4 linked regions of the Drosophila melanogaster genome follow. The protein of the gene in region 4 purifies or fractionates together with the protein of the main gene of each other region. This does not show direct contact. Each region holds a gene or a part of one and is shown on either strand. Other genes may lie near its edges.

The links.
Region 1: the proteins of Ubr3 (region 4) and Rrp1 purify together in Drosophila melanogaster (affinity purification with western blotting; one study listed by BioGRID). This does not show direct contact.
Region 2: the proteins of Ubr3 (region 4) and Sans purify together in Drosophila melanogaster (affinity purification with western blotting, with the first as the bait; one study listed by BioGRID). This does not show direct contact.
Region 3: the proteins of Ubr3 (region 4) and Cad99C purify together in Drosophila melanogaster (affinity purification with western blotting; one study listed by BioGRID). This does not show direct contact.

The regions. Positions count from the first base shown.
Region 1 is NT_033779.5:2,969,239-2,974,560, reverse strand, and holds Rrp1 (recombination repair protein 1), read left to right. Parts: upstream 1-2,052; 5' UTR 2,053-2,263; coding exon 2,264-3,305; intron 3,306-3,366; coding exon 3,367-3,444; intron 3,445-3,506; coding exon 3,507-3,847; intron 3,848-3,909; coding exon 3,910-4,569; 3' UTR 4,570-4,788; downstream 4,789-5,322. Other genes in the region: gammaTub23C (gamma-Tubulin at 23C), read right to left, coding at 1-1,132, 1,193-1,395, 1,454-1,502; Ts (thymidylate synthase), read left to right, coding at 4,991-5,322. UniProt on the Drosophila melanogaster protein: Plays a role in the cellular response to oxidative stress by promoting DNA repair mechanisms such as base excision repair and possibly homologous recombination repair.
Region 2 is NT_033778.4:12,935,008-12,941,168, reverse strand, and holds Sans (scaffold protein containing ankyrin repeats and SAM domain), read right to left. Parts: upstream 4,279-6,161; 5' UTR 4,080-4,278; exon of another isoform or gene 4,073-4,079; intron 3,554-4,072; exon of another isoform or gene 3,496-3,553; coding exon of another isoform or gene 2,899-3,495; exon of another isoform or gene 2,826-2,898; intron 2,770-2,825; 5' UTR 2,717-2,769; coding exon 2,694-2,716; intron 2,602-2,693; coding exon 2,458-2,601; intron 2,395-2,457; coding exon 2,173-2,394; intron 2,083-2,172; coding exon 1,087-2,082; intron 1,018-1,086; coding exon 852-1,017; 3' UTR 757-851; downstream 1-756. Other genes in the region: Mdr49 (multi drug resistance 49), read left to right, coding at 1-745; CG30487 (uncharacterized protein), read left to right, coding at 2,899-3,495; SCCRO3 (squamous cell carcinoma-related oncogene 3), read left to right, coding at 5,216-5,390, 5,469-5,606, 5,670-6,003, 6,060-6,161.
Region 3 is NT_033777.3:29,839,695-29,844,901, reverse strand, and holds the start of Cad99C (cadherin 99C), read right to left. Parts: upstream 3,246-5,207; 5' UTR 3,112-3,245; intron 2,178-3,111; exon of another isoform or gene 2,029-2,177; intron 1-2,028. UniProt on the Drosophila melanogaster protein: Cadherin that functions in epithelial morphogenesis and the intestine epithelial immune response. Essential for female fertility. Regulates the length and organization of apical microvilli in developing follicle cells and salivary glands.
Region 4 is NC_004354.4:7,933,955-7,938,898, forward strand, and holds the start of Ubr3 (Ubr3 ubiquitin ligase), read left to right. Parts: upstream 1-1,941; 5' UTR 1,942-3,014; coding exon 3,015-3,657; intron 3,658-4,944. Other genes in the region: RpS14a (ribosomal protein S14a), read left to right, coding at 80-316, 376-594; RpS14b (ribosomal protein S14b), read left to right, coding at 1,249-1,485, 1,545-1,763. UniProt on the Drosophila melanogaster protein: E3 ubiquitin-protein ligase which is a component of the N-end rule pathway. Recognizes and binds to proteins bearing specific N-terminal residues, leading to their ubiquitination and subsequent degradation.

The sequences.
Region 1 (5,322 bases), on a different chromosome or scaffold from region 4:
AGTCAACTGGCCCATTTCCCCGCTTCACTGAAAACTGCATGTAGTCCTCACGCGTGGCTGCCTCATACTCTTGCACCAGGCAGTCAACAGTTTCGCGAGATTCGTCCAGCTCATTGAGGTCGTCCTTGAAGATGTCCTCGCGTCGAAACTGGTCAAGAAAGGCGCCGCGCTTGCGAAGCTTGTCATACTGGTTGAGAGCTCGCTCGAAAAGCGAGCAAATGCTGGTGTGGTTGGCCAGCATCAGTCCGGACACTCGATGGTTGCTCTGCACGTAGGGCGATGAGCGGGAAAGGGCTACCTGGATAGAGGTGGGGCCCCAGGGAATGAACTGGGCCATCTTGCGGTCGCGGATGCGCTGCAGTGACTTGTGCACTTGAGTGGGATCCACCTCGCCCTGGATAATGTTTAGAATGGAGATGTAGCAGTGATGATTTGACTTGTCGGGACCAGTGGACACCATCATGTTCTTGGGCTGCAACAGACGCCGCATTACATCTAGAACAGTAGTCTTTCGCACATTAACCAGCTGCTGGGTATGGATATCCGAATCGCTAGTCAGCGGCGTGTAGCCTGTCATGAGAAAATGCAGCTGGGGCGTCGGGATTAAAGGAGCCGTCAGCCCAATGAGATTGTTGTTCATGTAGGATGGATACCTCAGCGTAGTGGTGCTGACGCTCATTATGGTGGAGACCAGGTTGTTGATCTGCGAAAAGCTGGGATTCTGAATGTGCAAGCGATCGCAGGCAATACGATTAAGAGCAGTGTTGTCCAGGACAACCACACTGTCCGCAGCCGTAGTCAAACGTTTCAGGGTGAGCATGGAGTTGTATGGCTGCACCACTACATCACTGATCTCGTCCTGATTGGGAAACACACTGAATGTTTGGATAAGTTTCTTGGGATAGCGGTCCGCCAGGCGCTCCATGATAAAGGAGCCCATTCCCGATCCCGTTCCGCCAGCAATCGAATGGCAAAGTATAAAGCCCTCCAACGAATCGCTTCCATCTGCCTCACGGTCAATGATGTCGAATACCTCTTCTTGCAGCTTTTCGCCCTGGCTATAGCCTGAGGCCCAGTTGTTGCCCGCACCGCCTCCGTGCTTGGATAGGTACACATTTTCCGGATTGTAGAGCTACGGGAGTTAATAGTAGGTTTGGCGCAAAAAATTAAAAGTTATTTAGAGAGGACTCACCTTGGAGTAGACCGAGCCCATTATGGTATTGATCACCCTCGGTTCCAAGTCCAAGAGCACCGCGCGGGGTATGTAGTGGTCGTCGTCCGCCTGGTAGAAGAACACATCCTTGCGGTCCAAGCCATCATTGGCAAAGTCCTCCAGCACGCCGCTAGGGGAGATGCCATGCTCCAGGCACAATCTTTTCCAGAACTCAAAGCCAACTGCGTTTAAACGATTTTAGCAATGCAGATGGTACTCGTCCTGATTTCAGAAACCTACTTTGATTGCCGCACTGCCCAAGCTGCAAAGTAATTATTTCACTTGGCATTGTGGTGTGTTGTTTCCGGCCAGAATCGTCAAGTGAAGTTTCGCGTTTAAGGTCGAATTAGTCGAAATAAAATAAAACACAACTAAAAGATCGTCGAATTATAACAAAATTTTTAAAAAATCCCACAGCGGGGACGTACTTTGTAATTTTAAGAAAGTCCAGTGTTGATAACACCGCAGCGTTTAATGGCGTCCTCATTTGAAAGGTGGCGCAGTGTGCCCTCTGTTATAAAATATATATGATTACTTAAGACCTTTATTGTGAATTAAATAAATAAAAATAAACATTACATTTTTCTACTTTGTATTTTGGAAAGGCAAAAAAGTGTTGGAAATCTAAGACTATGAGTTAGAAAGATCGAAACATGTCATGAATATCAATCTAATAGTTCAATACTAAGCTTAACTTGAATATAATTTTCTATAAGAAAGTTTTTCAATTAGGTTATTGAGCTCCACCCATTTTGTACTACTAATGACGTCGAACTATTTGTACTACTAGTGACGTCACAATGTGCAATATTTGCTCCACAGTCGTGTTTTTCCAAGGAAGGCACACAAATAGTGTTGTAAGCAGACCAAAGTCAAGCCGACCGGCTTGCAAAAATCGCGTTGCCCGCGCAGTTTTCTTTTTGTTGATATCGGGTGCTGAACCAAGCGACAGTGGCTCTGCAAAACAAGCAAAAGAAAAAGCTGGAAATCTGTGGAAGTAAATACAAGTCATTTTTGAGAACCTATCAGTCCGAGCAGTAGAACTCCATAATGCCGCGTGTCAAGGCCGTGAAAAAACAAGCAGAGGCGTTGGCATCTGAACCCACTGACCCCACTCCAAATGCCAATGGGAATGGAGTCGACGAAAACGCAGACTCTGCCGCTGAGGAACTCAAGGTGCCGGCAAAAGGAAAGCCGCGCGCGAGGAAAGCCACCAAGACGGCTGTATCTGCGGAAAACTCCGAGGAAGTCGAGCCACAAAAGGCGCCCACTGCAGCCGCGCGTGGCAAGAAGAAGCAGCCGAAGGATACAGACGAAAACGGCCAGATGGAGGTGGTGGCCAAGCCGAAGGGACGCGCCAAGAAGGCAACTGCAGAAGCAGAACCAGAACCCAAAGTCGATCTACCAGCTGGAAAGGCAACTAAGCCACGTGCCAAAAAAGAGCCCACTCCTGCTCCTGACGAAGTGACGTCTTCACCGCCTAAGGGACGCGCTAAGGCTGAGAAACCAACGAATGCCCAGGCCAAAGGACGGAAGCGAAAGGAGCTGCCGGCAGAAGCAAATGGAGGGGCCGAGGAAGCAGCAGAGCCGCCGAAACAACGGGCAAGAAAGGAAGCAGTACCAACGTTAAAGGAGCAAGCTGAACCAGGGACAATAAGCAAAGAGAAGGTGCAGAAAGCTGAGACAGCTGCCAAGCGGGCACGCGGAACCAAGCGTTTGGCAGATTCTGAGATCGCAGCTGCTCTCGATGAGCCGGAAGTGGATGAGGTGCCGCCAAAGGCTGCTAGCAAGCGAGCAAAGAAGGGAAAGATGGTTGAGCCATCGCCCGAGACTGTAGGAGATTTTCAATCAGTACAAGAAGAAGTGGAATCGCCTCCAAAAACTGCAGCTGCACCCAAGAAACGCGCCAAGAAAACAACCAATGGTGAGACTGCGGTAGAACTTGAGCCAAAGACCAAGGCAAAGCCCACTAAACAGCGCGCTAAGAAGGAAGGCAAGGAGCCAGCACCCGGGAAGAAGCAGAAGAAATCCGCCGATAAGGAAAACGGTGTAGTTGAAGAAGAAGCCAAGCCCTCTACTGAAACCAAGCCAGGTGGGAAACTGTCAAATCAATGTAAATGATGAAACCATGATTAACTATCTTTAATCCGCAGCTAAAGGACGGAAAAAGGCTCCAGTCAAGGCAGAGGATGTCGAAGATATTGAGGAGGCAGCAGAGGAAAGTAAACCAGGTGGGCACATTGTCAACAATAACTTTAATATCAATGCCACGCTAATCATATTCTATTTGCAGCTCGAGGCCGAAAAAAGGCGGCTGCGAAGGCTGAAGAACCCGATGTCGATGAGGAGAGTGGATCGAAAAGTATGTTAGCGGAGCAATCCGGCTGCGGTGGAGCTGCCGTATTAAAAAGCTTGCAAACCATGCTCAACTTTTGTTTTCCAGCCACCAAAAAAGCCAAGAAGGCCGAGACCAAAACCACTGTAACATTGGATAAAGACGCTTTTGCCTTGCCAGCAGACAAAGAATTCAACTTGAAAATCTGCAGCTGGAACGTGGCCGGTCTGAGGGCCTGGTTGAAAAAGGATGGTCTGCAGTTGATTGACCTCGAGGAACCAGACATTTTCTGCCTGCAGGTTAGCTATCAAAGCTATCCACACAAAATTGAAAAACACTAATAATTCCATATATTTTAAAGGAAACCAAGTGCGCAAACGATCAGTTGCCAGAGGAGGTGACCCGACTGCCGGGATATCATCCCTATTGGCTGTGCATGCCAGGAGGCTATGCCGGCGTCGCTATTTACAGCAAGATAATGCCCATACACGTGGAATACGGCATTGGCAATGAGGAGTTCGACGATGTCGGGCGCATGATTACGGCTGAGTACGAAAAGTTTTACTTGATCAATGTGTACGTGCCGAATTCAGGCCGAAAGCTGGTTAACTTGGAGCCCCGCATGCGCTGGGAAAAGCTCTTCCAGGCGTACGTGAAGAAACTGGACGCTCTAAAACCGGTGGTCATCTGCGGCGACATGAACGTTTCCCATATGCCCATTGATCTGGAAAACCCGAAGAATAACACCAAGAATGCCGGCTTCACCCAGGAGGAGCGTGACAAAATGACAGAGCTGCTGGGCCTCGGCTTTGTGGACACGTTTAGGCATTTATATCCCGATCGCAAGGGCGCCTACACCTTCTGGACATACATGGCCAATGCGCGAGCACGCAACGTTGGATGGCGTCTGGACTATTGTCTCGTCTCGGAGAGATTCGTGCCCAAGGTGGTGGAGCACGAGATACGCAGCCAATGCCTTGGAAGCGACCACTGCCCGATCACAATATTCTTCAATATATAAGATGTACACTTCGTTTGTGTTTAAATGTACTTCTGGATTCGTCATTATTACTTTGTTTCCTCTCCATATATGGTTTTTATTGTATTTGATTATCCATCGCTGTAGAAATTGTACGTCCCTATCTAATCATTTCAAAATGCCATTACTCTATTACATTCTGTCATAGATCCACCATCAAAATTCGTATTTTTTTAATAAAGTGAGCTACTGCCCCACGTTCGAACTTTGTGCTCAAATTATTGGCCAAAAACGGTTGGATTTAAATTTTTAAAAATCGCTAGAGGTGATATAACCGGTCGACATCGATAAATGTAATCGCTTGCCTATCGGGTCGAACCGAAGCAATAACTAATTCCCGCCAATTTTCGAGCAGAACTCGATTTATTTTGCGGGAAATATATACATACATTATTTTTGCGAAATGGTTTTAACACCAACGAAAGATGGGCCCGACCAGGAGAGCATGCCGTTGCCGGCCGACAATGGGGAGTCACCAAGTAAACAGCAGGCCCCTGTCAATCGGGATGAGATGCACTACTTGGATCTTCTGAGGCACATCATCGCAAATGGAGAGCAGCGGATGGACCGCACGGAGGTGGGCACTCTGTCCGTGTTCGGCAGTCAGATGCGCTTCGACATGCGGAACTCCTTTCCTTTGCTGACCACGAAGCGCGTCTTCTTCCGCGCGGTGGCCGAGGAGCTGCTGTGGTTCGTGGCGGGCAAGACGGACGCCAAGCTGCTGCAGGCGAAGAA
Region 2 (6,161 bases), on a different chromosome or scaffold from region 4:
CGAGGGAGACATTGTCTATGAAAACGTGGGCTTCGAATATCCCACCAGGAAGGGCACTCCCATTCTGCAGGGCCTAAATCTCACCATCAAGAAATCGACGACGGTTGCTCTGGTGGGTCCATCTGGTTCCGGCAAGTCCACCTGCGTGCAACTGCTGCTTCGCTACTACGATCCCGTATCGGGATCCGTGAATCTGAGCGGAGTGCCGAGCACGGAATTCCCGTTGGACACACTGCGCTCCAAGCTGGGCCTGGTCTCGCAGGAACCCGTGCTCTTCGATCGCACCATTGCCGAGAACATAGCTTATGGCAACAATTTCCGTGACGATGTGTCCATGCAGGAGATTATTGAGGCGGCCAAGAAGTCGAATATCCACAACTTTATAAGTGCTTTGCCCCAAGGCTACGACACCCGACTGGGCAAGACATCGCAGCTCTCTGGAGGTCAGAAGCAGCGCATCGCCATCGCTCGAGCCCTGGTTAGAAACCCGAAGATACTCATCCTGGACGAGGCCACCTCTGCGCTGGACTTGGAGAGCGAGAAGGTGGTGCAACAGGCGCTGGATGAGGCGAGATCAGGCCGCACATGCCTGACGATTGCGCATCGTCTGACCACCGTGCGGAATGCGGATCTCATCTGTGTGCTAAAACGCGGCGTGGTAGTGGAGCACGGCACCCACGATGAGTTGATGGCACTGAACAAAATCTACGCCAATCTCTATCTGATGCAACAGGTGTCGGGCTAACACAGCGAACTGGAGTGATAATTGTTAGGCTTTAATTTAGTATGTACACTAGGCTAATTGAACATGTTGAAGTATTACAAAAAAAATAGAATGATTAGGCCAACTACTACAGTCGACTGTCTACCAGGGGTCCGGGATTGGCCAGGGCGTTACGTCTCTCCTGAATGGCGAAGGTGAGTTTACGGAATGGCCCCAGTGGCAAGCCAAGTGACTTAAGGTCCGATTCTGTGAGCAGCATCAGAGTCTCCAAGTCGATCTCTTGCTTCTGAAATCTGAAATGGTAAAGGAGGATACGAGTTGAATACACATACATTCCAGACAAATTTGGTTTTGTTACTCACACTGGCAGGTATTCTTCCAGGGCCCAAACGGCCAGGAATCGCTGCAAGGCACTTCCTCCGGCATCTCGGTCGTCGTCGTCATCATCGCTATAGATGTCATGACCGCCGCCCTCCGAGTCCGTATCATCCGAAAGGTTCAAATATAAACGACCCTTTCCTCCGCCATTTCGTGTCTTTGGAGGATTGCTGCCCGCATTCCGCATCGTGGAAGTGGAACTGGTGTCCGTGTGCAGTTGAAGCTGACTTAAAGCAGCAGTTACGGATCGACGAAAGGCAATGCTGCCCAGCATGGTGGGTCTATCGAAGAGTCCAACGGGTCTCTGGAGGGTCACTTCCTCGCTTAGTTCCTGGGTCAACTGACCATCCCCCAGAATATCCGGTTGGGAGAAGGAACGCGCTAAAGTAGAGCTATAGCCACTGCGGTTATCGCTGTGGTCCAACTCATCGGCCTCCATGCACTCAAAAACATCGCTGATCTTGCCGCGCTTGCCGACACTGTCCTCGTTGGAACTAAAGGTGCCCACATACAGCACCTCGGAGTCTCTCTGCAGACCCGTAAGCGATGTAATGGTTCGCTTTCCATCTGGCTCCACCTCGCGCACCTTGAAGCCACCGTCTGTGTCGCTGGATATCTTCGAGTGTGGACATGTGCTGCTGTGCTGCTTTTGGAGCTGCGACGGTCTCTTTTGCACCGTTCCCGCTCGACTGGCTATTGTGGAGCCACCGCTGCTGCTGCTACCGTTCCCAACCAGATCGCTGAACTTTGTGGGAGGCGGTGTATCCCTTGGTGTCTTATTTAGATTGCCCTGGCTGGACCAGATCTTCTGCTTCAGAGTGGACAGCATGTTGCCGGTCTTGCTGGAGCCACTGGGTGCGCTTAGATCCGAATACTCCGGATCCTGGCGCTGTTGCTGCTGATTCTGGCGCTTCATGTACTCCCTAACACGTTTCTCGCAGTTTTTCTCGGCCAATTCTTTCAGGGCCTTGCTTTTTTTTCTGTTAGTTGAAGTATTAGTTTTAATATATACAAAAAATAAATTATGCAAACAAAAATGCAAGCAAGTGGCAGATATTTCATAAACTTACTTTTCAGTGGCCTCAAAGTTTGTGAAGGCAACATCCAAGTAGCGCAGGATCTCGTCCCTGCCATTAATAGCCGCCAGATCCTTGGCGCTGTGCTTATCGATATCCAAGGCATAGATGTTTACTCCGAATTTCACCAAGAAGTCGACGCAATGCAAATGACCCTTGGCGGAGGCCAAGTGCAAGGCTGTGTTTCCGAACTGATCGCATTTGTCAGGGTCACCACTGAAGGGAGAGGAAAGGATTATCTTCAGTGGATATAGAATTATCATTTAAACGAATGCGTACCCCCTTCCGCACAGCAGACGCAGTGCATCCAGACGCCCCTCGAAGGCAGCCCACATGACCGGCGTCATGGAATCACTGTCCTTGGCATTCGTATCCTTCCGTGTGGCTGCTGCCAACACATCCAACAGCCCATCTTTGGCGGCTCTAAACGGAAACGATTGTACCAGAAAGTTAATGAGTCTCTTGTGCATCACCATTGGTGATAAGATAGAGTCAAATTAATTGCATGTACCCACTTGTGAAACCGATCCGATGACATATTCGTCTGTGTTATCTTTCAATCAGGTTGGCGATGGAAATTCTTGAATCGATCTGAAAGGAATCCAAGGCGAGATGAGTAGGCTGTTCATTATACTTGCCATTCCTTTCCATCACACATCTCAAGATTCTCAAAATTAGGTCACACACATAAGCGCCAACAATTCTTTACAATTAAAAAGCATGTCTATAGAAAAAATCTCCTCCGAGCTGCGTAAGATGATAATATCTGACAATCCAATCGAAGCAACAACTTTCGATAAATCTGCAATAGAGGCAACTTTGGATTCCAACAAATTCGAAGATCTACGAATTCCGAAGCATACACTGAAGCAAAAGTTTCTTCTTCGAAAGTCAATAATTGAACATCCCTTTAAAAGAATTCGTGCCGAAGGAGTGGATTGGGCTCACAAAATTCGAGACACCGACGAAGAGAAGGAATCTAATTGGGCAAAGATTGCGACTGGAAAGGTTTCTGGCAATGCCTACGATCTTAAAACCATGATGAGCGAGTGTGAAAATATTTGTGGTTACGGAAACGCCATAAACTTGACGGTCCCAAGGGTGGACAAACTACAGGATCTGGCTAAATCGATCCCAACGGATCCCGATACAGTCTACCTGACCTGTCAATGTGATGATATTTTCTCTAATGGAGGCACAGAAGCTCCGACTCAAAGCCCCGACGAAGTTAATTTCGAAGAGCTGTCCAGCTACTTCGAAAATATGCTCAACATACCCAAGAATCTTCCGCTCAGCGCTGAAATAATGTATACTTAATGATTGGAACGGTGTGTGTATTGTTATATTTAGAGTAAAAAAAGATATAAATCATTTTAGTTTACGGTTTTCTCATTTTAGATGTGGTGATGTTAGGTTTGGATCCCTATATATGCATATACATATGTACAATGTATGTATCAGATCGACTGATTTCCGTTTTGGTGTTACTGGTACCAAATGTAGACGGGGTTTTCGTACTTCTTGTCTTACTCCACTTTTTAATGTGCTTATTGTGTGGGGCTGGCCAATTAAAATAAGCCCGAAGATGAGCCAAATTCCTAAGCCTAAGCATATTGCCCTTTTTCCCAGCACTTGTACTAACGTTCACACGTTTCGAATTAATAATCCAAAAAAGAAAAAGAAAAGTGTAGCCGCCGCGAAGAATCACAGGCCCACGACACACGCACACAAGAAAACATTACCCATTTACTGCGCACGACGGAGTTTGGCTTACATACCAACGACCAACTACCAAGTTCACTCAACCTTGTTGGCTGGTTTTCGAATTGCCCAAAACAACCGAAAATCGAGACAGTCAACCATTTACTTATTTACCACGGGTACACACACTCACTTATTACCAGTTAGTTGTCCCGGTTCAAGACGACTTTTCAAATGCAGGATTTCAAATTGGATTTTCCCACTCCGGGCAGCTTGACACTTTTCTTTTTAGCCAAACGAACCGAAAGTTTTCATCTGCGATCGGTAGAATATGCACGTTCCGAAAGCCGTTACCCGGAAGCACTTTCTACCGCTCCGACTGCATGTTGTTGAATGAAATTGTTAGCTTTGCTCAAACTCGGCGCTCACATTACGCACAGTGGTCGAGAAAATGATAGATGCTGCTTAGACGGCAACTAAATATTTTAATGGGAAAAATTATGTATGCTAATGTTTTGTTTTAAATTTCTTAACCAATAAAGTAATATAAAGAATATAAATTAATAAAAACATTGTATTGAACGTATTGGTTCAATAATCGTATTTGAATATAGAATAATTTGTACGAAAATATTTAAGGTGTGAACTACTGTGCGGAATCAACTTGTATGTCCTACTGTGACTCTCTTCGACGATAGGGTGTTGCCAGACTGAAGTTGCTACGACTATCGCATCAACTAACGTAGAGCACTGCAGCCCTGGTTGACTAGTGCCGCCCTGGTCCGATTGCCAGAAAAAAACAAGACAAGTGAAAAAGCGAGATAAATCAAATTAAAAATATTGTAAAAAATTGTAGTTAAACACGCGCTGGAGCACGGTGAACTGAAAATGTGAATGAAAACCATCAATAGAGAGAGACGAGCGCGATTTGGTGGCACCAAATGCTGCAGTTGCAACCTGCACATGTATGTGTATACGCGTGAGTGTGCGTTTGCGTAGGAGGCACCAAAATAACAACAGCAATCGCAGTGACAACAAAGAATCGGAATCGGAATCGTACTTGTTTGTACTCGCACAGGACGTACTTGGAATCGGAATCGGAATAGCCACTACCATATGCCAGAGGAGGGAATCGCAGTGCCAATGCATAGTTAATAAATTTCCCAGAAGCTATACGACCAGCAGACCTCAATTGCAATTGCACGCCCCTTGACAAATCACAGTGTCTCAGCCAAAACGAAACTGGAAGCCATCGAGTGCTCCCGTTAAGCAAGCAACTGCAGGCGGAGCACGGGGGAGGAGTAGGACCTGGTGGTGCACCAAGCACGCCCGCACTATGGGCAATTGCCTGAAATGCTTCCAGTCTGCCGCCGAACAATCGATGCCAACGAACGCCTCGTCCCCCAATTCACACAATTCCAATTCCAACGCCTGCCAGACGGCCACCAGCCTTGCAAATTGCTACGAATCGGTGGGCATTAATCCCAATGCCAACGAGCGCTGCGCCTTAGGTGGGTATTCTATAGTTAATAACCGCATTGTGATCCAAAGTCTAAGAAACCTCTCTTATTCCGGCTTATGCACTCTAGAAACCGATGAACTGCTCTCTAGCCGAACTCCACTCAAGCCAGCAAAAGCAAACAATTGTGATACTAAGCGTAATAGTTTTAAGTCTTTAGGTTTGCTTAATGGCAGTGCGCCCACCATGAGCGATATCATAACAACTGGTGAGTCAGCGTTCATTCGACTGCCTTGGCGGCATACTCATTCGATTTTCTATATTCTAATAGCTGTCCAGGAATCGATGGAGGTATCGCACCAAACGCTGAGCAAACTATTCGATGTGTACAAAGATCCCGACGACGAGGAGATGATACTCACGGACGGCATCGAGCGACTATGCAATGACCTCAACTATCAGCCCGATGAGTTCGCAATTCTCGTCTTGGCCTGGTGCCTGGATGCCTCGCAGATGTGCCGCTTCACCAAGGTGGAGTTCATTGAGGGTCTGCATAAGATGAGGGCGGACACAATAGACAGTATCCGGGTGCGGCTGGAGCAGACAATCGAGATGCTCAAGGCGGACGCCGAGATGTTCAAGCAGTTATACCGCTTTACATTCCGGTATGCCGTTCTTACTGCTTGGAAGATCAGTACCTAATTAGCGTCTCAAATTTCAGATTTGGTCTGGAGCCCGATCAGCGCGTCCTCTCTCTGGAGATGGCTATTGACCTGTGGAAACTTGTGTTCACTGTACAAACACCTGATCTCTTCTCCAACTG
Region 3 (5,207 bases), on a different chromosome or scaffold from region 4:
CCATGCTGCGGCTTAGGTTTCTGCACATCCGTTGGCTTTCTAGCTTTCTGACTTTCTGCTCCATCTGCGATCTCCATTGAAGACTCGTTGGCACCAGGAGCCACTTGCATCGTATCCGTTACTCGGATCGTTTGTTTAATGAAACGGATCGGAGTTAATCTTCTGGTTTTCGCGCTCCCTCCTCGATCGCATCCATTGGATATAGATAGCACTGTCCAGAGCAGCCGGGTTCCGTTGTGCTGGTTAACCGAAACTCATAAAATAGGGGAATAAAGTGCGCGCTCTAATGAACAAAGCGAATTATTGAATTTCAACTATTGGCTGACAATTAAAATCCAAGCTGATGGATCTCTTATCCTTAGCCGCCACTGACAACTATTGTCTTCGATGGCCAATTGCAATTCGATTTACGCAATTAGCCAAATAAACCAATCAAAATACCCATGATTTCCCAACGATTTATTTAATTTCGCCAAAGTGTGCTGCAATCGCGAGTGGAATCAAACTTGTCTGCAAACGCAACTGCTGCTGAAATTATCTCCGAAATCATAAAAGCCCCGATCGCCCATTGCGTAACTTAAGTGCGAGATATCACATGGTATTGATATGGGGGCTTAAATGCTCCGTCGTGCCGTTCCTGCTTCCATTTGCGAGGAAATCGAGAAAATCGGGAAAATCGCGAAAAGCGCTGCAAGTCCTCCGCTTTCACTGGACGGTACACAAAATGCCATTTTCCATTTCCCCCGCATAAACAAAGGCGCGAAGCTGGAGGAGATCGGAGAAGGAGCAGGAGGAGCAGGAGCAGCCAGAGGAGGAGTTCGGCGGTGGCCACCACAGAAAGTCAGTTGCTGATTATGTTCAACCGGAAACTTATAGAAAAAGCCGAATGTGCCAAACTGGTTTGCAAAATAAACGAAAGCCGAGGTATCGCTTTGAATGCCTGTGTACTGTGTGTGTTGTGTGTGTTGTGTGTGTTGTGTGTGTTGTGTGCTGCTGGGTGCAGATTCGATATGCGGCAAACCTGTTGCTTATTGATGCTGTTTTTGCCAACATTTTCTAGTTTTGAATGTGGTACAATACGTAGCGAACTTAAATCTCAAATCTGCTGGAATGCGAACGATGGTTGCCACACAAATCTTAAATAAACAAGAAAGGAACGCCAGCATTTGGGCACCGAATGGCGGCATACCCTGGTCCACCTGGCCACTCGGCTCCCCTGGATGATCACTCGGATCACTTGGATCACCTGGATACATACATTCATGTATACACCATCGTTCTGTCAGCTCCAACTGCGATTGTTATGCTAATTCGCTGAGTGTTTTATTGTATTTTAATTTTATTGGACAGAGGACGCGCTCTTGGCCATACAAAGTATTTCTCCTCACGGATCCGTGAGATGTTTCATAATATATATCGAATTCTATCAGCATATAAAGTATCTCAATCTATGCCATTCATTTTGGCTGTCCATATATTTATGACTCCTGTGGGAGTAAATATATGATCGTCTTCAAAATGGCCATTTGTCGAGTTTAATGACTCAAAGTGCTTTAACATTCTAATCGTTCTAATGAACTCGACAAGTATCTTAGAGCCAATTTGCTGAGAATCATTTTTCCTGATGATTAATTTTAATGATTCGCCTTTTTATCGAGAACACGTCTAACGAAACTTAAGCAACTGCTGAGTAACATAAACATTCTACCATTATGATTGTCTTAATTGGCCAAAATAAGTTGAGTTTAGAATAATTAAAAACAAATCTTTGAATTTAGATGATGGCCAAAGACATTGAACTGCAAATTCTTGGGTGACAATAAAATTAATCGACCTGACTTTCCGCTGAAGAAAAAACGGTTAGGTGATTATGTTTTCTGCTTTATAAATGGCTTCTAGCCATTTAGCCAAATGAAGATTAATCTCCGCCGCCCGGAGAAAAGAACATTATTTCATCATTTTGCTTCTCCCCGCCTTTGGATGCTGAATAATTTAATAATAATAATACTAATAATACTCCGCACTTACCGTTTGGTCTAAAGATTAAATATTAAAGCAGCTCAAAGTATTTCAGCTGAGTATCCAACGTGAAAAATGGAGTCACACGCCGTTAACAAAGGTTATTCTTGGTCCTCAATTACATTTCGATTTACTATATTATTCAATAGATGTTGTATCTGCGCATTAAAAAACAGGGTTAAACTCGATTAAAAACACTCGCGACACAAATTTGAAGGTGTTGTAATACTTATTTTATGTATTTCTCTGTCATAAAATTCATATTGAATCCGAAGTTGATCATTTCGAAGTTGATGATCACCGGATCACCGGCTTGGAAGTGAGTTTTGCCGCACTGAAGTGAATTTTAATTACTGTTTGGAGGTTGCCCTCTTGGATTAATTATAAGCCATAATGTTTCGCGAAAAGCTGGCGAACAAAGCGGCGCGTGGGAGTTTGGTAGCATGTAGTAAAAGTAGCATGGCAAGTCGATGACTATCTACGTATGCCTGTACAGTGAACACGACTGTGTAAGTTTCTTACACAAATCTCGACATACGTGACCTCATTTGCCGTTTTTTTTTTGTTTTTTTTGGCTGTTTTATTGCTTGTTTCTTGGTTCTTGGCAAATGCCGCAGAAATCCCGGTCGATAAATGCGATTTGCTTAATACGGCGATCACGTTCACATTCCACATTAGTGTTCTATCCTTTGATATTCGGCAAAACGATGATGGTTTCGTTTGTTTTCTGTTTTCACTCCACTGTGAGTTGTGTTGGGTAAACAAAAAAACTGAAAAATTGGCAAGAGAAAGTCTTGCTCTCGGGGGTTAAAGTGGTGTGTACAAAGGTATGATTTTTAGATTTAATGATGGCGTGAAGGCTTTGTTTGCCTCTCGGGGCTTCTTTGTTATTTAAACGGAGCGCTATTTCGAGATATCTGCGTGGTATGCCCTTTTCAGGCTTCTATGGCTACAGCTTTAGGTTGCCTTGGATCCACCGGACACACCTCACACATCCACACATCACACGTCGCCACAAACGGACCATTCTGAACTTTACACATTTTCTTGAGAGATAACTCTTAAAAAATTAGCTCTTGGGCATATTCATACCAGCTCGAAAACCGGTATCGCGCCAGCCACCTTATAGCAATAGCGCTGCGTTGGGGCACAAGCTCATACTCGTCGTGCTACACTGCGCGAAAGTACGTGGTACGTGGTGTCGGCTCGGCGGTTGGATCGGTACTGTTTCGCTTTACCTGTCTCGCGCAGCAGCGGCAACAAGTGGGCGCTACCCGATCCAAGGTGGAACGTATTGGAATTGAGCTGGCATTCGCTCGCTTTGCGGTAAAACTGGTTTTTCGGGGGTTACTCGTTTGCCAGCTGATGGATACCACACCATACTCAAACACACACACACACACACACACACACATGCGAAAGGCTTCGGCTGTGGAGCACAGGTACTGCGATCCACGATCTGCAGGTGCATGTACATACACAGCTATGTACATATGTATATGTGTATGCTGCGCGGACAGAGAATCTCGAGCGGCTAACAGCGTCTGTTAAGTCAAAGGTAAATATGTAAGAGACCACCATGTTGCATTTTCATAGGAGTTGGAGCCGTGGATCGGGCTTAGAGTTAGCCAGCCAGGCCAGGAACCAGTTTTGGGGCTTCGGCTCGGCTTGTCGCTCGCTTTGTGTTTGCTTTTCTGTTTCAGCTGCACTGCAGCCGTTGCTGTGTAAGTTTTTATTAAAATGTTTTAGTCGATGTTGCCGCGATTTTGGCCGCTCACTCCACTCCACTGCAATCCACTGCAATCCACTGCAATGCAATGCAATCCGAGCTGCGATCCGGGGCATGAATGAAGTTCACCAAAGGGGCAGACAGCATTTTTGTACCTGTCAGGCGGGCAGGGAGTCGTCGCATATGCATATTCCGTTGCCATTGTACTGGGACAATGAGACAGTTGCACCCGGCTGGCTGGCAATCCGCGAAATTGGCATTGCCATCATGGGTAGGTGTTTCCATCGAACACCACCATCGAATACCACCATTTCCATTTCCAGCCGGATGCTGCCAGAACAATTGAGCCAATATCGTTATATTGGCATTGAAAGCTGCTCAGATCGATGGGATCAGCCAAATATGATAATTTGCGCAGATCTTGTTTCTCGAAATGTCAAAGCACCTAATTATAGCAAACATAGCATATTCATATGGCACACAAACTGTACGGTAAGATTAAGCCATGTGCTAAATGGCTATTAGCGGAGTATCTTCATGGTGCTAAACGCATGGGAGTCTGCCATCTTCATCACAACTGGCTGGAGGAGAAAGTGCAAGGGTTTTCAGCAGATGTACGTCATTAGCTCGTTTTACTGTTTGCTAACAAGCCAGTTGGCTGTTAGCTCCTCACCTGGCCAAATCCGCATCCCACTGGGTTGGGATTTAATTAAGGCTTAGCTTCTTTCGTTATTATAAAGAGGCAGTTTCTTGCTACATTTATTGGGGGTTCTTGGATTACCATAATGTCTGTGCTCTTCCGGCTTGGTCATCACTTTTACGATTCGAATGGCCCATTTTCGCGATAATTTGCCGATCGGCTTACATATGTCAAGTTCGAAAAAACAAAGTGCCAACTGTTTGAATTCGCTACTCTAACAGGAAGTTTTTGGATTATGAACAAGTTGGTTAGGAGGAGCTTGTAAGGTGTATTTCATTTTAGCCATTTATGCTGACATTTAACAAAAGTGTAGTTCAGTGACCCAAAGTTACACGCTGCTACTGGAGTTGTAGCCAAGACAGATTTGCTTGTGATTCTGCAAAATGTTTTTGGTAGTAGCAAGCTATATGCTGATATGCTCCATGAGTACCGGATATGAAGGTATCAAGCGAAATGTGTCAGCCAAAACTGTAAGGTTTCGCATTGACCATGCGCAAAAGCTCGAATTGCTGGTTGAGCCAGTTTAAAATCATTTTTGCCTTCCTGAGAATTTTCGATTGCACAAACGACAGGTGCAGCATAGGCAAAATAAATTGTGGTGCATAGCAAATATCGTTTCGAAAATGCTTTATTTCAGCCATATTACCAACAGACAGTTGCAGACTAGATTTTATTGGCTCCTGGCTTAACTTCTTTGAAGAAAAGTTAAGTGGGAAAAGCGCAACAAGTCAGTGAACGAGTAAAAAAACATGCAACCTG
Region 4 (4,944 bases):
TTTATTTGTGAAACACGTGGTATAAATGTGGAAATTCCCTTGCTATTCCCGCAGTTGCTGATCGACAAACAAACCCAGAATGGCACCCAGGAAGGCTAAAGTTCAGAAGGAGGAGGTTCAGGTCCAGCTGGGACCCCAAGTTCGCGACGGCGAGATCGTGTTCGGAGTGGCTCACATCTACGCCAGCTTCAACGACACCTTCGTCCATGTCACTGATCTGTCCGGCCGTGAGACCATCGCTCGTGTCACCGGAGGCATGAAGGTGAAGGCCGATCGTGATGAGGCTTCGCCCTACGCCGCTATGTTGGCCGCTCAGGTGAGTTGTGCGCTCTCCGGTCCAGTTGGAGCCCGTCTAACGGTTTCAATTCCCTCCAGGATGTGGCTGAGAAGTGCAAGACACTGGGCATTACTGCCCTGCATATTAAGCTGCGTGCCACCGGCGGCAACAAGACCAAGACCCCCGGACCCGGCGCCCAGTCCGCTCTGCGTGCTTTGGCCCGTTCGTCCATGAAGATTGGCCGCATCGAGGATGTGACGCCCATCCCATCGGACTCCACCCGCAGGAAGGGCGGTCGCCGTGGTCGTCGTCTGTAGATGGCAGTATCTGGAAAGCAGTAGTCTATGTTTGCGGTCGAAATACAATACTGCATTTGTGTATGCGATAAGAAAGCTTTTCTGTTCGTGTGCATAGGTGCACTGTAATAAACCAGGAAAATACGATGTAAATGACTACAAGACATTTTTGTGTGTGCATTGGGTTCGGTTTGGGGTCTGCAAGTGCTGCAATATTTGATTTATAAGGACATTGGCGAAATGTTTACAAAAATTGCACATTACAAGCCGAAGAGTTGCCACCCTGGCGTGCCCAACGCGGTGGTAGCCCGATTGCGCCATCAAAGTAACTATGCGTCGATAACTATCGCATTACCAGCTGTGTTGTTTTTGCCTTCTTTTTTTCGCATCCGGCGCACGCAATTGGTTGGTTTTCTGCTATTTCTCCCTTTTTTTGTTCAATTTTACTGCAATTGACTTATTTGGCGGCAAAAGCGAAAAGTTGCTGCTAAATATGATTCAGTGATTTAGCATAAAATGAAAAATTTTGCGGACGCCGTGAAAGTGGTGGCGAATTAATTTGTTTCTCCCCCATTTTTTTTTGTGTTGTTTTTTTTTTTGTAGTGATTTGAGCCGGCAAATAAACATGGTGTTTTTTTCTCTTTTAGTTGCTGATCGACGACCAGACTCTGCAGAATGGCTCCAAGAAAGGCTAAAGTTCAGAAGGAGGAGGTTCAGGTCCAGCTGGGACCCCAAGTTCGCGACGGCGAGATCGTGTTCGGAGTGGCTCACATCTACGCCAGCTTCAACGACACCTTCGTCCATGTCACGGATCTGTCCGGCCGTGAGACCATCGCTCGTGTCACCGGAGGCATGAAGGTGAAGGCCGATCGTGATGAGGCTTCGCCCTACGCCGCTATGTTGGCCGCTCAGGTGAGTTGTGCGCTCTCCGGTCCAGTTGGAGCCCGTCTAACGGTTTCAATTCCCTCCAGGATGTGGCTGAGAAGTGCAAGACACTGGGCATCACTGCCCTGCATATTAAGCTGCGTGCCACCGGCGGCAACAAGACCAAGACCCCCGGACCCGGCGCCCAGTCCGCTCTGCGTGCGTTGGCCCGTTCGTCCATGAAGATTGGCCGCATCGAGGATGTGACCCCTATCCCATCGGACTCTACCCGCAGGAAGGGCGGTCGCCGAGGTCGTCGTCTGTAGAAATGGATCGTGCCACCCGCTTTTGACGCTGCTTTATATTCTTATACTATTAAATACATGCATAAATGCAGTGGCAAGGGCATGTTTTTTGGGCTCATGTGTTTCATTGTGGCCAGTGGCAACGCGTCGTTAGGTGGTGCTATCGATAGGTGATGGTTGGGACCACCAATGGTATGTGCAGGTGTAGAGCGGTCACACTGGATGAAATTCAAGACCTATCGATATCCTGATATACACGCCAACGAAGACCGTGTGTGGATTCGTGGAGCAAATCGAAGTTGGCAGGATTAAAGGCATTCGCGAACGCAGAGGCAGCAGCTAAAGGGCCACCCATGCACCAAAGAAACAAACTAGCTGGCCCAGCGGTTCATTTATCTGCGACTAACAAGCTAAAATCGGCGTAATTGGCAAGTTCAATGCACGACTAATATATTTGGCCACACTTGCCAGTGTATGTTTGTTCGTGTGCGTGCCTGTTTGTGTGGTGTCGTCTCCGTACGTGTTTGTGTGTGTGTCCGCGACGAGTATGTGTGCGCACATATTCGTATATCTGCAAGACTCGCGGATGAAACAGCGTGAAAAGTGAGCAAAATATCGGGGAAAAACGGCACGGTACGGCCACAGAACGGAACGGTACGGTGCGATACGATATCGAGAAAAGGCCATCAGCCAGAGTACTCCTCGATCCGGAAACGGATAATGGGGATATAGATGATACAGCCAATAGCTCCCCGAAAGCCACAGCACACAATAGGTCGGTCGGTCGGTCGGTTGGTTGGGCGACGTCGCCGAGAGTTAAACATCAAAAATCAAACCCAGGAACCGACGGAGCTAAGTGTCAAGTGTTTGGTGTTGTGAAATTTTTCGTTTCCAGCTCTCCGTTCAGCGTTCAGCCAATTTGCCAACCTTTTCCCCTCTTTAATTTGTTATCCCCGGACACCACAAGAGTTTCGATCAAAATTTTCAATTGAACGCAACATCGCCATAAACAAAAACATAAAGGTAAAATTCGGCCACTACCCAAACAACAAAAAAATAAAATCATAAGAAAAAATCACGCAGTAACGTAGAAGAAGCAGCAGCCGAAGCCGAAAAAAGACGAAAAGAAAACTTGTTTGAAAAGGCCGAACCGAAAGAAGAAAAAGAGCAGCAGCAGCAGCACAGCGGCCAAGTTTGGAAGAATTTCAGAATTTCAGCGTGCTAGGAACGGAGCAGCGGACCGGCGACGTCACCAAATAAACGCCCATCACCATGGACGAGGATGACAACCTGTCCAATGCCGACATAAGCATAGATGACGAGGAGGTGGTGCGGGAGCAGACCCACCATCCGCCCATGCAAGAGGATCAGGAGCTGGATAACGAAGATGGGTCATCCGACGTGGATCTGTCTTCGGTGTACGTCGTGCCACCCATAGTCTCGGCACCATCGCCCGCATCAGTGCGCATCGCTGGTGGATCCACAATTGGTGGCGGAGGGGTCGCAGCTGGAGCAGTTCCAACAACCACCGATAACTCGCATTCCCCCTTCCACGATTGGGATTCCAGTGTGGCGGCCGCTGCTGCTCCACCGCCGCCACCGCCCAGGACAGGACCAACTACAACTACAAGCTCCGGCACAGCCGCGGAATCGGGAGCCGCGTCCGCCTTATCCGACGATGCCGGCGCCAAGCCAAGTTTCTTCTTTGGCGCCTCCTCGTTCAGTTTGCGCAGCCGCAAGGAGGTGGCCGCCCTGATCAACACGGAATGCTGCCGTGGCAGCCCCACACCCGATCTCGACTCCATAATGGATACCCTATTCAATCCGGGGACGCCCATCGACAATCTGGACAACATCGAGTGGATACGATGGCTCATTGCCGGCGGACGGACGCCGCAGGAGTTTGTTAAAATTGGTACGTCCCAATGTGTGCATATCGATAAGTGTGTTGCATTTTCTATCGCCAAACAGCTGATCGCAAGTCCGTTGCCCCTGAAACTCTGACCGAGCATGTGTGTGTTACCTGCGTTATGTGTGTGTGTGTCTGTGAAATGTAATGGTTGTAGGGCACGCAAAGAAAAGGTAGAGAGGAAGAGAGCATAAAAGCAAGGTGCAAGGCAGCGTGAAGAGTGCGAGTGCACCACCATGGCAACAGCAATCAAGCGCACTCTCTCGCACACACAGCACACTCACTACACACACATATGCACTGATTAGGGGAGTCAACTTTAGCCCAATTTAATCTCAACTGCTCATCTATTTGCAATGCTGTATTTGTGCATAATTTTCATCACTACTTATTACTTTTTGTGCCAGGCTGCGTATGTCGCCAAAGTTGCTTTTATCGTTTATGGTTGTTTGTCGCGTCTAGTCTTGTCTTGTCTTGTCCCACTTGTCAGCTCTGTCACACGCACACATACACACACTCGTGCAAACTGGCGGGCGGAGACGTACACGCACAGTGGAATGCAGCTTGCACCTTGTGGCTTTGTATCAGCTGTTTCGGTACGCCTTGCGTAATAAATGTTTCCGCAGCATCCGTCCCAAAACCACACGAACACGAATGTAGATGGTGCTTGATTATATGATGGCACCTTTTGTCACCGCTAGGTGCTCCTTTTTTTTTTTTGTGTTATATTTCTTTCACCTTTTTGTTTGTTACTCGTTGCAAGAACAATTGCAAAATTGCACTGGTGCGGAAAAAGTTGATTGACCGTCATTGTTGTTGATTTGACAAAAACACGCACAGTGGTCGCGAGGGGCGGATGTGATGTGGCCCACTGTAAGCTGTCAACGGCAATTGACCGAAAGACCGTTATGTTATTGGGTGGTGTGTATGTGTGTGCGTGCGTGCGTGTATGGGTGAGGGTGAGAGAGTGCACCTTTTTTCCGTTCCCATGTCATGTCACCTCCCCTTCCCTTCGCCACACCCTTGCTCCTCCATTCGGACCTTGTCCAAAAGTTCTCAGTTAGAAAGAGACTGCTGAGCCAAGATAGTGAGAGCGAGAGAGAGTTGCTAACTTTCCGTTGATCGATCGCTATTACAATTTTACAACATTGTCAATCAACTTTCCGCTGCACTGTGGTTGTTATTGGCCAATCCATTCGATTTCCTTCCGCATGCGGCGGCCGACAACGTTGACCTTTTTAGTCAACAAGGTCCGAGCGGAATACGTACATACATATGAACATACATATGTGT